4 linked regions of the Macaca mulatta genome follow. The protein of the gene in region 3 purifies or fractionates together with the protein of the main gene of each other region. This does not show direct contact. Links are inferred from orthologs where the notes say so. Each region holds a gene or a part of one and is shown on either strand. Other genes may lie near its edges.

Region 1 (2,716 bases), on a different chromosome or scaffold from region 3:
TCGCGGCCGCGAGATGAGGAATGAAGTGATTAGCTTTGCTGATCGCAAAAACAAATAAACAGCAAACCAAAAAACAAAACAAAAAAAAAGAAACCCTGCCAACAGGCATCTCTGAACTAGCCTTCAAATATGGGGTATGACAATCCCAGATTATCACTCTTCGGCCTCCCTTCCCCCTTTCCCTTCCCCACCTCCCCCACCCCCCTTCTTTCTACCCTCCTCCCACCCCTCCCTGCAGAATCCCCCTGCAAAGTGGCAGTGCCTGCCGGTGTTGGCCGGCAGGTGTCAGGCTTGTGAACTTCCGGCATTGTTAGTCAACAGTCAGGAAGTGTTGTGTATTGCAAAGGCTAACCTGGCCTGGGGACGAATCCAAACTCTTGGGGGGCCTTTGGGACCACAATAGCAGGGGAGAAGGGCATACTCTGGGGGCCTTTGTGGATGAAACCGACGACAGGAAAATGAGAGATGGTTACCATGCGCAAAACCTAGCCTGGCAGACTTAGCAAGGACTCTTTAGCCTACCAGTGATGGGGTTCTTGCATCCAGCACACTTCTTGGCCACAAAGTTCTTGTAGCAATCCACGCAGTAATACTGGTCCTCCACAGCGGTGAAACGCTGCCCAGCCAGCTTCTTAGAGCAGGTAACACACACAAAGCAATCGGCATGCCAGGGCTGATCCTGGTAAGTGATTCCTCCAGATGTGATGGCCTAGACCAGGGAGTGTAGCACCGGATTCAGATTCAACAACCATTTTGTTGAATGCCTACTGCGTGCCAGGCACTGTGCTGGGCGCTTTGGTATACAATATCTCATTTAATCTCCACAACAGCCATGGGAGGCAGGGGCTATTATTATCCCCACTTTACAGATGAAGACACCAAGGCTCGGAGAAAGTGAGCCCCTATGTGAGGTTACACAACCCCTTAGTGGTGGAGGCAGGCCTCTGGAGCCAGGGCTGCCCAGCTTAGCATGCCGTACGGGCTACCCACACCACCGGGCTGAGGATGCATACCGACAGCCCAAGACTTGGCTTCGGCACTGCTTCCTAATCCACGATCTCCTCATCTGTAAAACGGGAATAATAATTCCTACGTCACAGGGCTGTCATGAGGATGGAATGGGATAGTGTGTGTGGAAGTGCTCTGCAAACTGTCAAACACTTCTAGAAACAACGGTCAATGCAGAACTCCCTTGAAAGCATACCTTGTTGCACTTCACGCAATGCTTGGCAAACTTGGTCTCATGGCAAGTCACGCAGTAGAAGTCCTCCCCTTTAGGGAAGAAGCTTCCAGTCCCGATGACTTGCTTGCAGTTACTACAGGTGAAGCAGTCTTTGTGCCAGACGGTCCCCTTGTACTCCACGTTTTGATCTCCTGCAGGGGGAAGCAATTGGATAGCCCCACTGACAGGCTCTGCAGGGGGCTGCATCCACTCAGCTCCCCTCCCCAGGCCCTCCAGAGGTGAGGGGATGCAGGCCCTGCAGTTACTGGCCTCACACCTCCAACTAACCTACCTGTGTTCTACTTATGCTTGTGCCAACCCAGGATTTCTGTCATGGGTGGGGACCCCAGCATTATTGTTTTAGGATCCGGTGCCTGAATGCCCCACTCCCCCACCTCTATACCCTGCGTGCACTTAGACATTAAATCAGGGACTACATGGCCCAGAATGACACCCTGAGGAAGAAGCATGCTTTCATCACTTACTACGCCCAAATGAGAAAGCGCTACATACTGTTCACTTCATTCTCTTGCCACAGGCTGTTCTCGCCAGTGTTCTTTAGTCTCCGAGTGTGTGCGTGTGTGCGAGCATATATGTGTACGCATATATACGTGTATGTATATGTGTACATATATATGCTAATATCTCAAAGCAGCTCAGAGCAACGTTAGCCCCACCGTGTTAAGCAAGCCCACATCACGTCTGCCCTCAGGGCCTCCTCCCTGGGAACCCGGGGTGGGAAGGAGGCAGTACCTGCCACAATGGCCTTGAAGCACCCCTTGCACTTGGGGGAGTCCTCCCGAGTGGTGCACTTGTTGCACAGGATCTTGTTGTCCTTGGCCACAAAGGTCTCATTGGCCAAGGGGTGAAGGCACTTGGCACAGCGGAAGCAGGTGTCGTGCCAGAAGCGGTTCTTATAGTGCACCTCCTGGAAACCAAGCAGACAGGGTGGGCCACATGAGGGGCGCTGGGGGTGGCAGCAGGAGCCCTCCCATAAGGCTGATTTCCCTGGGACTGACCACCGAGATGACACAGTCCCTTACACCTAGGGACTGCCCCACAGTGACTGTTCTTATGAGTGATAGGAGGGATGCTGAGATGAGGATAAAAATCTCACAATTCTTGAAATATTTAGAATGCAATCAGAAGAGCTGGCAATGGCCTTGTCACCCATCCAGTCAAGCCCCACATTAAACAGCTTGGGCCACTGTGGCCTGGGGAGTGGAGGAGGCTTCCTTGAGGCCTCAAGGTGGCTGCAGTGATGCTGGGAAATCCTAACGGCCAGCTGCTGCTGCCATGATTGTGGGTAAAGGACACTCTGAAGCCCAGCCCTTCCCACTGGCACGTGGGGATGCCCATTACCTTGGAGTCCGCACCGATGGGCTTGCGGCATTCCACACAGGTGTTGGCACAGAACTTGTCAAAGCATTTCAGGCAGCAGTGGTGGCCATCCTTTTGCACATACTTCTTCCCCTGCAAGGGGTCCCTGCAGTA
Region 2 (2,283 bases), on a different chromosome or scaffold from region 3:
CCTTACAGGAAGATGGGGGCAAGGAGAGGCCCAGAGCCCAGCCCACACTGCCCAATCCAGGTGCAATTCCATCTGTGCAAAGGCTTTGCTGCTTTTCCTAAGCCCTGGGCTGCATTCTAAGTGCTCTGCAGACACACGTGTCACTGTCTGGCTTTCTTGGACCCTCCACTTGGCATAGTCCTAGCCATTGTTTTATTTCCCACCTTAACAAACACACACACATACAAACTTAAAAACAAAACTAAAAAAATACTATTGTCTGTATTCTGAGCTCAGGAAGAGCTGGCCAACCACAAGTTAGTAGCATTAGCCAGAAGCCTATGGGAGGAAGAGTCCAGCAATTCCTGAGGCCCCGGGTTCCCAAACTTCAGTCACCCACTCACCACTGTCATGTTGTCTGCCACATCCTTGTACTACCTGTTGTATTTAACTTTGTTATTTAAATCAACTCAGGCTTAACAATGGCCTTTACCCTAAGGGGGAAAAAAAAGGAACATTCATGGCTTTGATAAGCTGATATATTTAGTACATGAAAATAAATACAGAAGCATATTAAGATGAAACAATGTTCACTCAAAAATCTCGCAGCTGCCCTTGTGTTCTCCAGGCTTCACACAGAGTCTGGGAAAACTCCTCTAGGGCTTGCAGACTCAGTTGGAAACTAATCCTGAGCAGGAAGCTTGGCTTGAAGGAGAGGGGACCCTCCAGGTTGGCAATTACACCATTTATTTGCACTTGGCAGCAAGAAAATGGATGATGTGGGAGGTGCCAGGCCCCTAGGTTGGCACTAATTTGGAGTGTGGTTGAGACAGGGCTGGAGACGGCATCTTAGAGGTGGCCCCCACATCCGCAATCGGGAGAAAAAGGCAGGAATCGACTAGAGATTGTCAGGATAAAGGGAGGCACTGCCCACCCCTGCTATGTCTGTCTGCCCCCACAGGGGCTTCATACCTGGGGTTCCCTGGGTGATGAATGTCCTCCTACCCTGGCAAGGGGCTACACCTCTCGCTGTGGCCCCATAGGCAACCCTGATGAAAGAGTATCATTTCCAAGGGGGCTTTGCTTTCTGGGTGGCCCCAACTCGTCGTGGGGTAGCTGGCACTGAAATGCTAACTGAGCGAGCCCTGGAAGTCACCAGGGGGCTCCGGAAGGTCACCCCTGATGTGGAAGGCCTGAGATCCTGAGGCCCATTTGTGTGGGAGGCACTGGTGGCTGGATGACCAGTGCTGGGGACATTCAGGTGGGTGAGGGAATGGGAAAGTCCCCGCCTCAGGGGGCATGAAGAGTGTAACCCATCCATGGATAACTTCTGGGAGTCTGCCGCCGCCCCCGGCTCTGTCTTGGAGGGACCAGCTGGGTGAATGGCTCGCAGTGGGGCCTCCCTGGGGCGGGGCGAGTGGCTACCCCTGGGGGTAGCTGGTGGTGTCCAGAAGAGAGCACGGAGCTTTGCGGCATCCCCCTTCGCCATCCGTGGGGCCCCGAAGCTGGCGCCCTCAGATCGGGAGCCAAACAGCGACTCATCACAGTAAGACGGGGTGTGGCTGATCAGTCTGGCAAAGGGAAGATAAACGCCATGAGCGGGGGGATGAACAACCCCTCAAAACTTTAACAGCTCTCCCACCCATCCCCAGGCACTGGCAGCAGCAGAGGAGGGTTCCCTGCAGATCCCAGGAGTCCCTGTCTCCCAGTCTGAAACCTATAGCGAGGCCATAGCCTTCTGTGGCACCACTGTCCCTGGTCTCCACTGATTTTACCTTGCGAAACATCCACTGCCCCTGCATCCTGACCCAATTCCCAGGCATGTGCCCCAGGCCTGGACAATTTGCATATTCCATCCTCCTGGCCACATGGATTGGTTCAGGAATGGCCAGATGACCCAAGCCTCTCCAATCAGAATCTGCCTTAGGACATTTGCAGAAACTACTAGGAAAGAGATGTTTTTCTGCCACCTGACTTTACTTCTTGCTAAGCTGATAGGATGTCAGCCCAAAGCAGTTTGTGGCCATCTCCTTCCTACTGGAGATTGAACGGCATGCAGGGAAAAGTAGCACTAAGGTGGAGACAGACAGTTCCAGCCACAGTTTGAGCCCCTCTTACAGGAGCCCCAAATGCCTTCTCCTGGGAAAGCCAGTTTGAATAAGTTTTCTGTCACTTGCAATCGAGAGTCACAATTAGTATAACCTTAGTCTTTAGAGCCTCCACTTTTTCTTTTTTTTTGTGAGACATGGTCTCACTCTGTCGTTCAAGTGGAGTGTAGTGGCACAATCACAGATCACGGCAATC
Region 3 (4,110 bases):
GGGGCACGTTCTCGCGAGGTTTAGGAAATTTCCCACGGCCGTGTTGTGTCTGAGCCGAGTAGTGGAAGGCGGTGGGAAGGAGGTGTAGCGTGAGACGCGACTGCCCGCATTGGGTGCATGCGCAGTGCCGCTCGCGCGGGCCGCGCCAATCCTGCAGCGCCTTCAGCAGGTTTCGGGCGGCGAATTCCAGTTCTCCGGGTTTTGGGGCTCCCTGCGGGAGGCAGTGCTGGATTGGGAATCTCTAGGAAAGGAAAGGGCAAAGGAGGGGAAAAATGGGGGGCTGCAGGTAGGAGGAGGGGGCGGGGTTCGGGCTCTGCACCTTGCTGTTCAATGCCCGGCGGGGCCAGGTTCGCCCGGGGGCTTCCGGCATCAGGCCGCCTGAAGCGCGATTCGGGCAGCCGGCAGCGTCTTCGGCTGTGCCAGGCCCTCGGGTGGCCCGGTTCCCTGTGCAGTAGTGGCCTCAACACACACCTGGGCTCACACACGGTGGCGGCTGCGATGGGGTCTTAGAGAGGCCATGTGGCACGCGAGCTGCAAGAGCTTTGATCAGGGCCTCTGGCCCGACTCGGAGGTGGGAGAATGTGGCTCTCAATTCCAAGGCAGTTTTCCCTTCTGGAGAGAACTACTCCGCACCCTGGCGTGTGTCTGCGAGGTGGCCATTAGGGGTGTCTTTCCCAGAGGCCTTGACTTGACCTCATTTCACACCTAAGGAGAACGCTAAGCCGAGAGAGCTCAACTGCAAAAGTTTTCCGTTTGCGGAGCTCTGGAAGGGCCTCCTCATTAGCATGGGGGTGTAATGAATGAAGACAGTTCCCGACGTGTCACTTGCCCGAACCCCAGGCACCTCTGACGCTCCTGCACCTAACGCCGAAATTAGCATAAAGGAGGCGCCCAGGGAACGTCTGAATGAATGAAAGGAGCTGGGAACCCAGAGTGAGCGGGAAGCCGCTTGGAAAACACCCATTGAGGAGGTGTTTCATCTAGGCCTGTGAAACGCGGCCCATTTTCCCAGGACCCCTCCTCCCTTCTCCTCGGCCCCGCCTCCTGACCCCTCCATTCCCCGTCCCCGTAGTAATCCCCTCCGGTTTTCCTCAGTCTCCACGTACGTCCCTCAAGGCGCGTCCCAAAACCTGGATAACCGGAGCGCTCCCCATGGACCACACGGAGGGCTCGCCCGCGGAGGAGCCGCCTGCGCATGCTCCATCGCTTGGGTAGGTTTCCAAGGGAGGCAGCGAGCAGGATCCCCTACTCTGCGGGCGGCGCGAGGCGTCTGGCTCTTCGCGGCGGCGGCGAGGGGAAAGGGAGCGCGGGGGCTGGGTGGAATCGAGGAGTGAGGAAAAAGGGAAGGGGCGGGGGAGAGGGACCAGGGAAGGCGTCGGGGGGAATCTCGCGAGGGTTGGAGTTTTGGCGAGAGTTTGTGGAAGATGGCGCCTGTTGTGACAGGGTAAGTCCGAGGGAATCGGAGCGCTGGGAACCGGGAAAGTTGCGGGCGTCTGGCAGCCCGCGGCGAGCGGCGGATTCGGGGGCCGCAGCGCGCTTGGCGTCCGGGGGCCCGCGGGGGCGGCGTCGCGTGCGCCGAGCGCGGCGGCGGCTGCGGCGTGTGACCGTGCGCTGCCTCTGCGCTGCCGTGGCTCGGGCTCCGGCGCGTGAGGGCGGGAGGCGGCGGCGAGGCCGGCGGGTGCGGGCGTGAGTGCGGCCGGGCGCGCGGGGCCCTCGGGCGCCGTGCCTCCCGCGCGCCTCCAGCGGGCCCTGCCTGGGGGCCCCGTGCAGCTTTGTTCCTCGCGGCCGTTGTCGCCGCCTCGCCCCGCTAGTGCCCCCGGCCCCGGGCGCTTTGTCTTTCCCCGCTGCCCCCCGCGACTCTCTACCCCCGGCCCTTTGTTTCGCCGCCTTGGGCGCTTTGTCCGACCCGTGGCGCCCCGCATCCTCTTTCCATCTCCTCCCCTCCGCTGTCCTTCCTCCCGTGCCCCTTTGTTGTGCCCCACTCTTGTCGGTAGCCCAGTGACCTGCCACAGCCCGGGCACCAGATTCCTGTCTTAATTGTTCTTCCATTGTCTTTCTCCTGTGGGTCCTCTCTCACCTTTCTCTGCGGTCCTGGATCCCCCCCCCCCGAGGCGTTGTCTCCCCCATCCATGGGCTTATTCTCTCGGCACCCCCTTCCTCTCCCGTCATCGGTTGATTTATCCACTACCCCCGGTGTACGTCTGCTGAACTGTCTCAGCCCCGGAGACTCCATCTGCTGCTTCTAAGTGCACACAGACTCTACGGTTTGTTGTTGTTTTGTGAGTCTGAAAGATGCATGGGATACTTAGTTTCCTCCTCCGCACCCCTTTTTCTCGGGATTTCTTGCACCCCCCGCCCCCCCATCGCCACCCCTTTCTTTCGGGATTAAAGCGTCTCCAATTTTCATCGCCGTCTCTTTAGTGCGGTGGGTTGTTTTGCTTGGAAACAGTAGCCCTGGAAAAAGGTCTGGTCTCTTGGTGGTTCTTGCGTCCCCCGGCCCCCGGCCCCCGCCCCCCTCCTGGTTCCTGACGGCCTAGGCCAAGGGCAGCTGTCTGTCGAAGCTTTGCATTTAGGTTGCCTGAGGATGATTGGAGGGTATCGTAGGACGGTTAGAAGGAGGCTCAAGATGTATATATGTGTTTTTCTGTTAGTGTTTGAGAATAGTTTCAGATATCCACAATGGATATTCATTTGGCATGTGAGTAGGAGTTGAGTGAATTTCCATGTTGAAAACTTGTGAGTGTTGGGGCGGAGAATTTCAGCATTTTCTAGAAATCTGGATTTAGAATTTATCAGAAACTCCTGCCTCATAAGGAAAAGGAGAGGCATTCCGGTTGGGAATTTTATATAAATGTTTTACTTTTTCTTAATCATTAGATGGTTTACAGTTATGTGCGTTTTTGCTGCTCTGTGGATGCGTGACAACCCTTCTGTCCCATCACTGGGGTTGAAATGAGGACAGCACCGAAGAGTGCAGTTTCTGATTGATGAATACTGCTTCTAGGATCTTTGTGGAAGATATTAATCAAATGCAGTAAAAAGTATACGTAAAGATGTATATTATATATATGTAATAGCCTGTAGTGAGATTATTTTAAAGACACTTCCTAGTGTTAAAGGACCCTTGAAGTGTTCTTACTGTTTTGGTAATGCTAAAAGCTTGGGGTTGTGTGAATGGGGATGGGGGGTGTGGTGTGATGTCTTTTAATGAGTTATTCTCGTGCTAGGAATAAGAGTTATTATATTTACCAGGATTACTATGCTGAATGTATTCTTCAAGAGTGAGTTTGTTTCTACTAGTTGGTCTCTACTTTTAGAAGGTATGTTACACATAAAATCATTTGGAGTGTCATTTCATTTACAAACTGAAGTTCTACAATAGTAAAGTGTTGTTTATAGAGGACATATGAGATCTACTCTAACGAGTATTGGAGCATTGGAAAGTATTTTTTTTTTCTGGCTGTGATTAGAATTAGTAGTTTGAGTTTTAATTAATGGAAAACCATGGTTTCATGATTGATACTTAAGTTTTTTTTTGTGAAAATCTGCAGTCTGGGTCGCATGAGTGGGTTTTACCAATAATCTTATGTCTCCCTTACTTGTTCTTGTACATAATGATTCTTTTGAAGGTAAAATCTTAAGCTCACTGGTTTTCTGACTGGGAGCAAAGTGTAAATACTGTGTAATAATGGAGGGTATTTTGCTCTGACTTGTACCTGTAGAATGATTACACAGACATGATAAAAGCGCTTTTACCATTTGAGTTGCGTTTTTCTTTCTAAATCGTGTAAGACTTTTACTTTGTGGTGAAATAAAACTGCTTTTAATTAAATTATAACAGCAGCATATTTCGAAATCTGGATGAGTTGTGGCTGGAGAACTTTCATTCTGAGTATTAACTATTAAAACTTTAAGTTTTATTATCCATGCATATTGCTGATGGATCTGTGATTATATTTTCAGAAAATGAGACTTGCAGTATTTTCACATCTGTACTGTTCAAAACACTTGTAGGCTTTAGATTTTAAGCAGTTAGATTTGTTAAAAAAATTACCTATTGTCCTATACCAACGGATTTCTGTCAATTTTTTTTTTTAAGTGGGTAAGATC
Region 4 (3,500 bases), on a different chromosome or scaffold from region 3:
TAAACATAAGTACTGGGGTAATGGGTTTATCTTAAGTGGTGGGCCATTCTATTTGTCTGATATTTGCATTTCTATAGGTTGAGTTATGACATGTGCTACATATCAAAGTGCTAGGCTTCATAAAATTAGCCTTGAAGTTCAGAAACCAAACACTTACCCAGCCACCTCCTGCTCTTGTTCACCAGGAATGGACCTGCGTGTCATCCTCTGTTTCTTCATGGCAGCTGACTTCTCACCATAATAGGGGTACACCATGAGCTCCCCCTGGGAGTCCCGCTTAATGCGCAGGTTGGTGTGGAGCAGGGTCCCCAGTGCCCGCAAGAAGCTGCGAGCATCCTGGAGCAGCTGTTCAGGTGGCATCAATACCACAATAACCAGGGTACCCTCTGCCAGGTTCTCAGGCTGGTCAGCAGCACAGTCCAGCCCATCCCAACCACACTCCTCACTGTTGCACCCCTGGTCACAGTGGTTGTCTTTGAAGTGGTCTGCACAGTATTTGTCATACCTAGGTAAGGGGAAGCAGAGAACAGGAGAAAGGGGCTCAGATTAGACTGGAGCTCTATTTGCTTTTTCATTTGGAACTAACTGTGGATTTTCCTACCCATTTTCTGTGGCCCACACCCAGGACCCAAATGCCCCACAAAACCTTCTTTGCATCTCCTATCCCTGATGTCATAGAGTATGTATAGTCTACGCCACTCATCCTTGTTGTGTACTTCCTAAATGAAGAACATTGTACTCACTACGCTGCAGGAGCTTAGGGACTCCCAGGCAGTTTACAATCCTGTTAAGTCAGGTTTTCAAACAAAGCTGCATATCTGAAACAAAAGTCAGCCTGGTTCATGCTTCCTCTACTTTGTATCCATTGTCCCCAATAAGGTAACAACGGGCTTTAGGAAGTGAAAGATGCCTCTAGAAACTTGATAAATGACCCTGAACCATTGAGAGTTGCCATAGAGAACCATATTAACATGACCCATTTCTTTCCCTTTCAAGAGCGAATCCCAGCTACAGAAGGTAAAGGGGGATGGGTATGTCCTTGTAGCACACCAGACCTTACTTGTACAGGCTCTTTCAATATTTGCAAAAGGAATTAGAACCCCCAAACCTAAATGATGTACAAACTATTTCATCTACACTCTCCTCTCCTCATACCCTACCCCTTGATATTTATACTACTTGGTACAACTTTTCATGCTATCTCAATCAAAAGATTAGGAGTCAATGAAACAACTTGCTCTGGCAAGTTCTTTAACCCTTGGGCCTAAGTTCTCTCACCTATGAAAGAATGTTAATAATACCTATGCCTCATGGGTTGTTGAGAATTAACTTGGATTAAATTAGATGGAATGGCTAATTAATAGGAAAGTTCCTAAGTAAACCATACAGCATCCTACAACTATAACAATTAAGGAGGGTTCACAGGCCTAATCTAATTCATGCTTCCTGATAAACCTGGGTGGGGAAAAACAGTCTTAGGGAAAGGAATGGGGTGAAGAGAGAGATACAGACCTTTCCATCCATCCTGCAGGCAGGTTATGTGAGAGGCTGCTTGAAGTGGGAAACACCACTTCCAAAAGTTATATCCCCCAGGAGGTCACGAAGGCAGCAGGTGAGAAGGCAGAGATAGGCAGAGAGAGAGGGTCATTATGCAATGAGCATTCCTGGCCCTTTGTCAGCAAGGGAGAGCACAGGGTAGTGTGCGATGGGACAAGGCTGGCACCATCTGAAAAGCAGAGGCAGCTTAGGCTGAAGCACTGGAGTGGTTAGGAGCAAGAACGAGAAACTGAAGTGTGTTAGTGACAGTCCCCTTCAGCTTCTGGAAAACGTGAAGCCCTTACTTGCATGTCTTGCTGTTCCCCTGGCATTCAAAGTTGTCAAACAGGCACTCGGCCGTGTTGCACAGCTCATCACACTGGTTGTTGATATAATCCCAGCAGGGAAGTGGGGAGGAGCAGTTGGCCCAGGGGTTCTCCATGGTGAGAGAACAGTCACCCCCATCCCACTGGCAGGCATGGCTGTTGCAGGCCTCATCACAGACGCCATCACGAGCTTTGTCGGCACAATATTGGCTCAAACAGGTGGCAGGAGGGGTGCTGGGGGGTGCCGTGTAGAGTTCACAGCGGCTACCCCAGAATGGTGGGGCACACTGGCAGGAGTAATAAGGAGGCTGGCGCTGAGGGTGGCAGCTGCCCCCGTGCTGGCAGGGGCTACTGGCACAGCCTGACTCGCAGTCCCGGGGGTTGGGGCAAAAGCAGCGGGGTCCAGAGGCGGTGTGCACACACTGCTCTCCTTTCCTACATTTCACTTGTCCACAGCTGCTCTGGCACCTTGCCCCGGAAAATCCCTGTGGAAATCAGTGAGGAAATAAAAATGGCATTGGTAGGAAAACAGTCATATTGGAAGTTTTGGGTTTCTAGAAAACCTCCACATCTCACTACTCCCTTCTGTACTTCCTGTTCAGCCCAAGCCAAGGTTACTAGACAGGTTTCCTTTTGGTATCTCCCGAGGCATAGGGATCTCTTGTTTTGGGAAGGTTTCAGCCTCTGGCAGTAATAAAAGAATGGGTATAGCAAAGAGCTAAAATTAAGCTTCCCTCTACTTTAAGAGACAACTTGCTTTCAAATGGTTCCTGCTAAAGAATGCAAGCAGAGCAGCATTTCCACCAACTCTGGCCCAACCTGGGCAGTGAGATTACCCTCCAGCATGGGGCCAAGAAGCCACATACATCAGCCCTATTTTCAAGGGGGCATTCCACCACTTTTTATGGTTTTCCCTTAGTTTTTCTTAAGACTGACAGTCATGGATTGGAAAGCTCACTGTTTCTGGGAGTATCTAAACAGCTTTTATTTACTTTTGTTTTTGTTTTGTTTTGTCGCTTGTAAACAGCTTTAAATGGAAGAACCCAAGTACTTTCTTGTGAAAGAGCAGAACTGAGAAATCTTCCCATTTGGAAGACTGATTAAACCAGGTTTAATCTCAGTTCTGTCACAGATTGTATGGAAGAGACAATGCCCCTTCTTAGATGAGCAACAGGGCACTTACCGGGGGACAACGGCAAATGAAACCATCAGGCATGTTACTGGCCACAGCACAAGTCCCTCCATTCAGGCAGGGCATCTGGGGACACACATCGACGAAGGTTTCACAGTGCCGGCCTCAGAAAATAAAAAATAAAAAAAGCTTTAAAAGGCAGAAGTAGTCACTACAAGTTACTGAACAAACTTTGCTGGAATGGGAACTAGCCATAGGTGGAGCAAGTGTGAGAGAGTTCAGTTCTAAGCCTGTGGTAATCTGAGCATAGGAAGAAAACACTCACTGTATCTCAGCATGATTGGCCTGTCACTGGCACAGGCCAGTCCCTTACTCTGTCTTGCCTCCACAATAAGTACCAACTCACACGACAGTATGGGTGAGAAAAGTGACTTAAATCCCACCAAAAAAAGAGAAATCACACTTCAGCTTCTTGAAGTCACTTTAGCTTTCATAAATTGCAGGAA

Evidence for each region.
Region 1: the proteins of RBPJ (region 3) and FHL1 purify together in Homo sapiens (affinity purification with western blotting; 4 studies listed by BioGRID and IntAct, with this or other methods). This does not show direct contact. The link is inferred for Macaca mulatta from reciprocal best matches to the Homo sapiens genes RBPJ and FHL1.
Region 2: the proteins of RBPJ (region 3) and RITA1 purify together in Homo sapiens (affinity purification with mass spectrometry; 4 studies listed by BioGRID and IntAct, with this or other methods). This does not show direct contact. The link is inferred for Macaca mulatta from reciprocal best matches to the Homo sapiens genes RBPJ and RITA1.
Region 4: the proteins of RBPJ (region 3) and NOTCH2 purify together in Homo sapiens (affinity purification with mass spectrometry; 3 studies listed by BioGRID and IntAct, counting the BioPlex papers as one, with this or other methods). This does not show direct contact. The link is inferred for Macaca mulatta from reciprocal best matches to the Homo sapiens genes RBPJ and NOTCH2.

The regions. Positions count from the first base shown.
Region 1 is NC_133426.1:142,534,965-142,537,680, reverse strand, and holds part of FHL1 (four and a half LIM domains protein 1), read right to left. Parts: coding exon 2,585-2,716; intron 2,151-2,584; coding exon 1,953-2,150; intron 1,424-1,952; coding exon 1,205-1,423; intron 710-1,204; coding exon 523-709; intron 1-522.
Region 2 is NC_133416.1:120,434,792-120,437,074, reverse strand, and holds the end of RITA1 (RBPJ-interacting and tubulin-associated protein 1), read right to left. Parts: intron 1,551-2,283; coding exon 1,043-1,550; 3' UTR 501-1,042; downstream 1-500. UniProt on the Homo sapiens protein: Tubulin-binding protein that acts as a negative regulator of Notch signaling pathway.
Region 3 is NC_133410.1:25,359,663-25,363,772, forward strand, and holds the start of RBPJ (recombining binding protein suppressor of hairless), read left to right. Parts: upstream 1-1,310; 5' UTR 1,311-1,424; coding exon of another isoform or gene 1,425-1,444; intron 1,445-4,110. UniProt on the Homo sapiens protein: Transcriptional regulator that plays a central role in Notch signaling, a signaling pathway involved in cell-cell communication that regulates a broad spectrum of cell-fate determinations.
Region 4 is NC_133406.1:120,363,114-120,366,613, reverse strand, and holds part of NOTCH2 (neurogenic locus notch homolog protein 2), read right to left. Parts: intron 3,159-3,500; coding exon 3,046-3,158; intron 2,348-3,045; coding exon 1,842-2,347; intron 506-1,841; coding exon 158-505; intron 1-157. UniProt on the Homo sapiens protein: Functions as a receptor for membrane-bound ligands Jagged-1 (JAG1), Jagged-2 (JAG2) and Delta-1 (DLL1) to regulate cell-fate determination.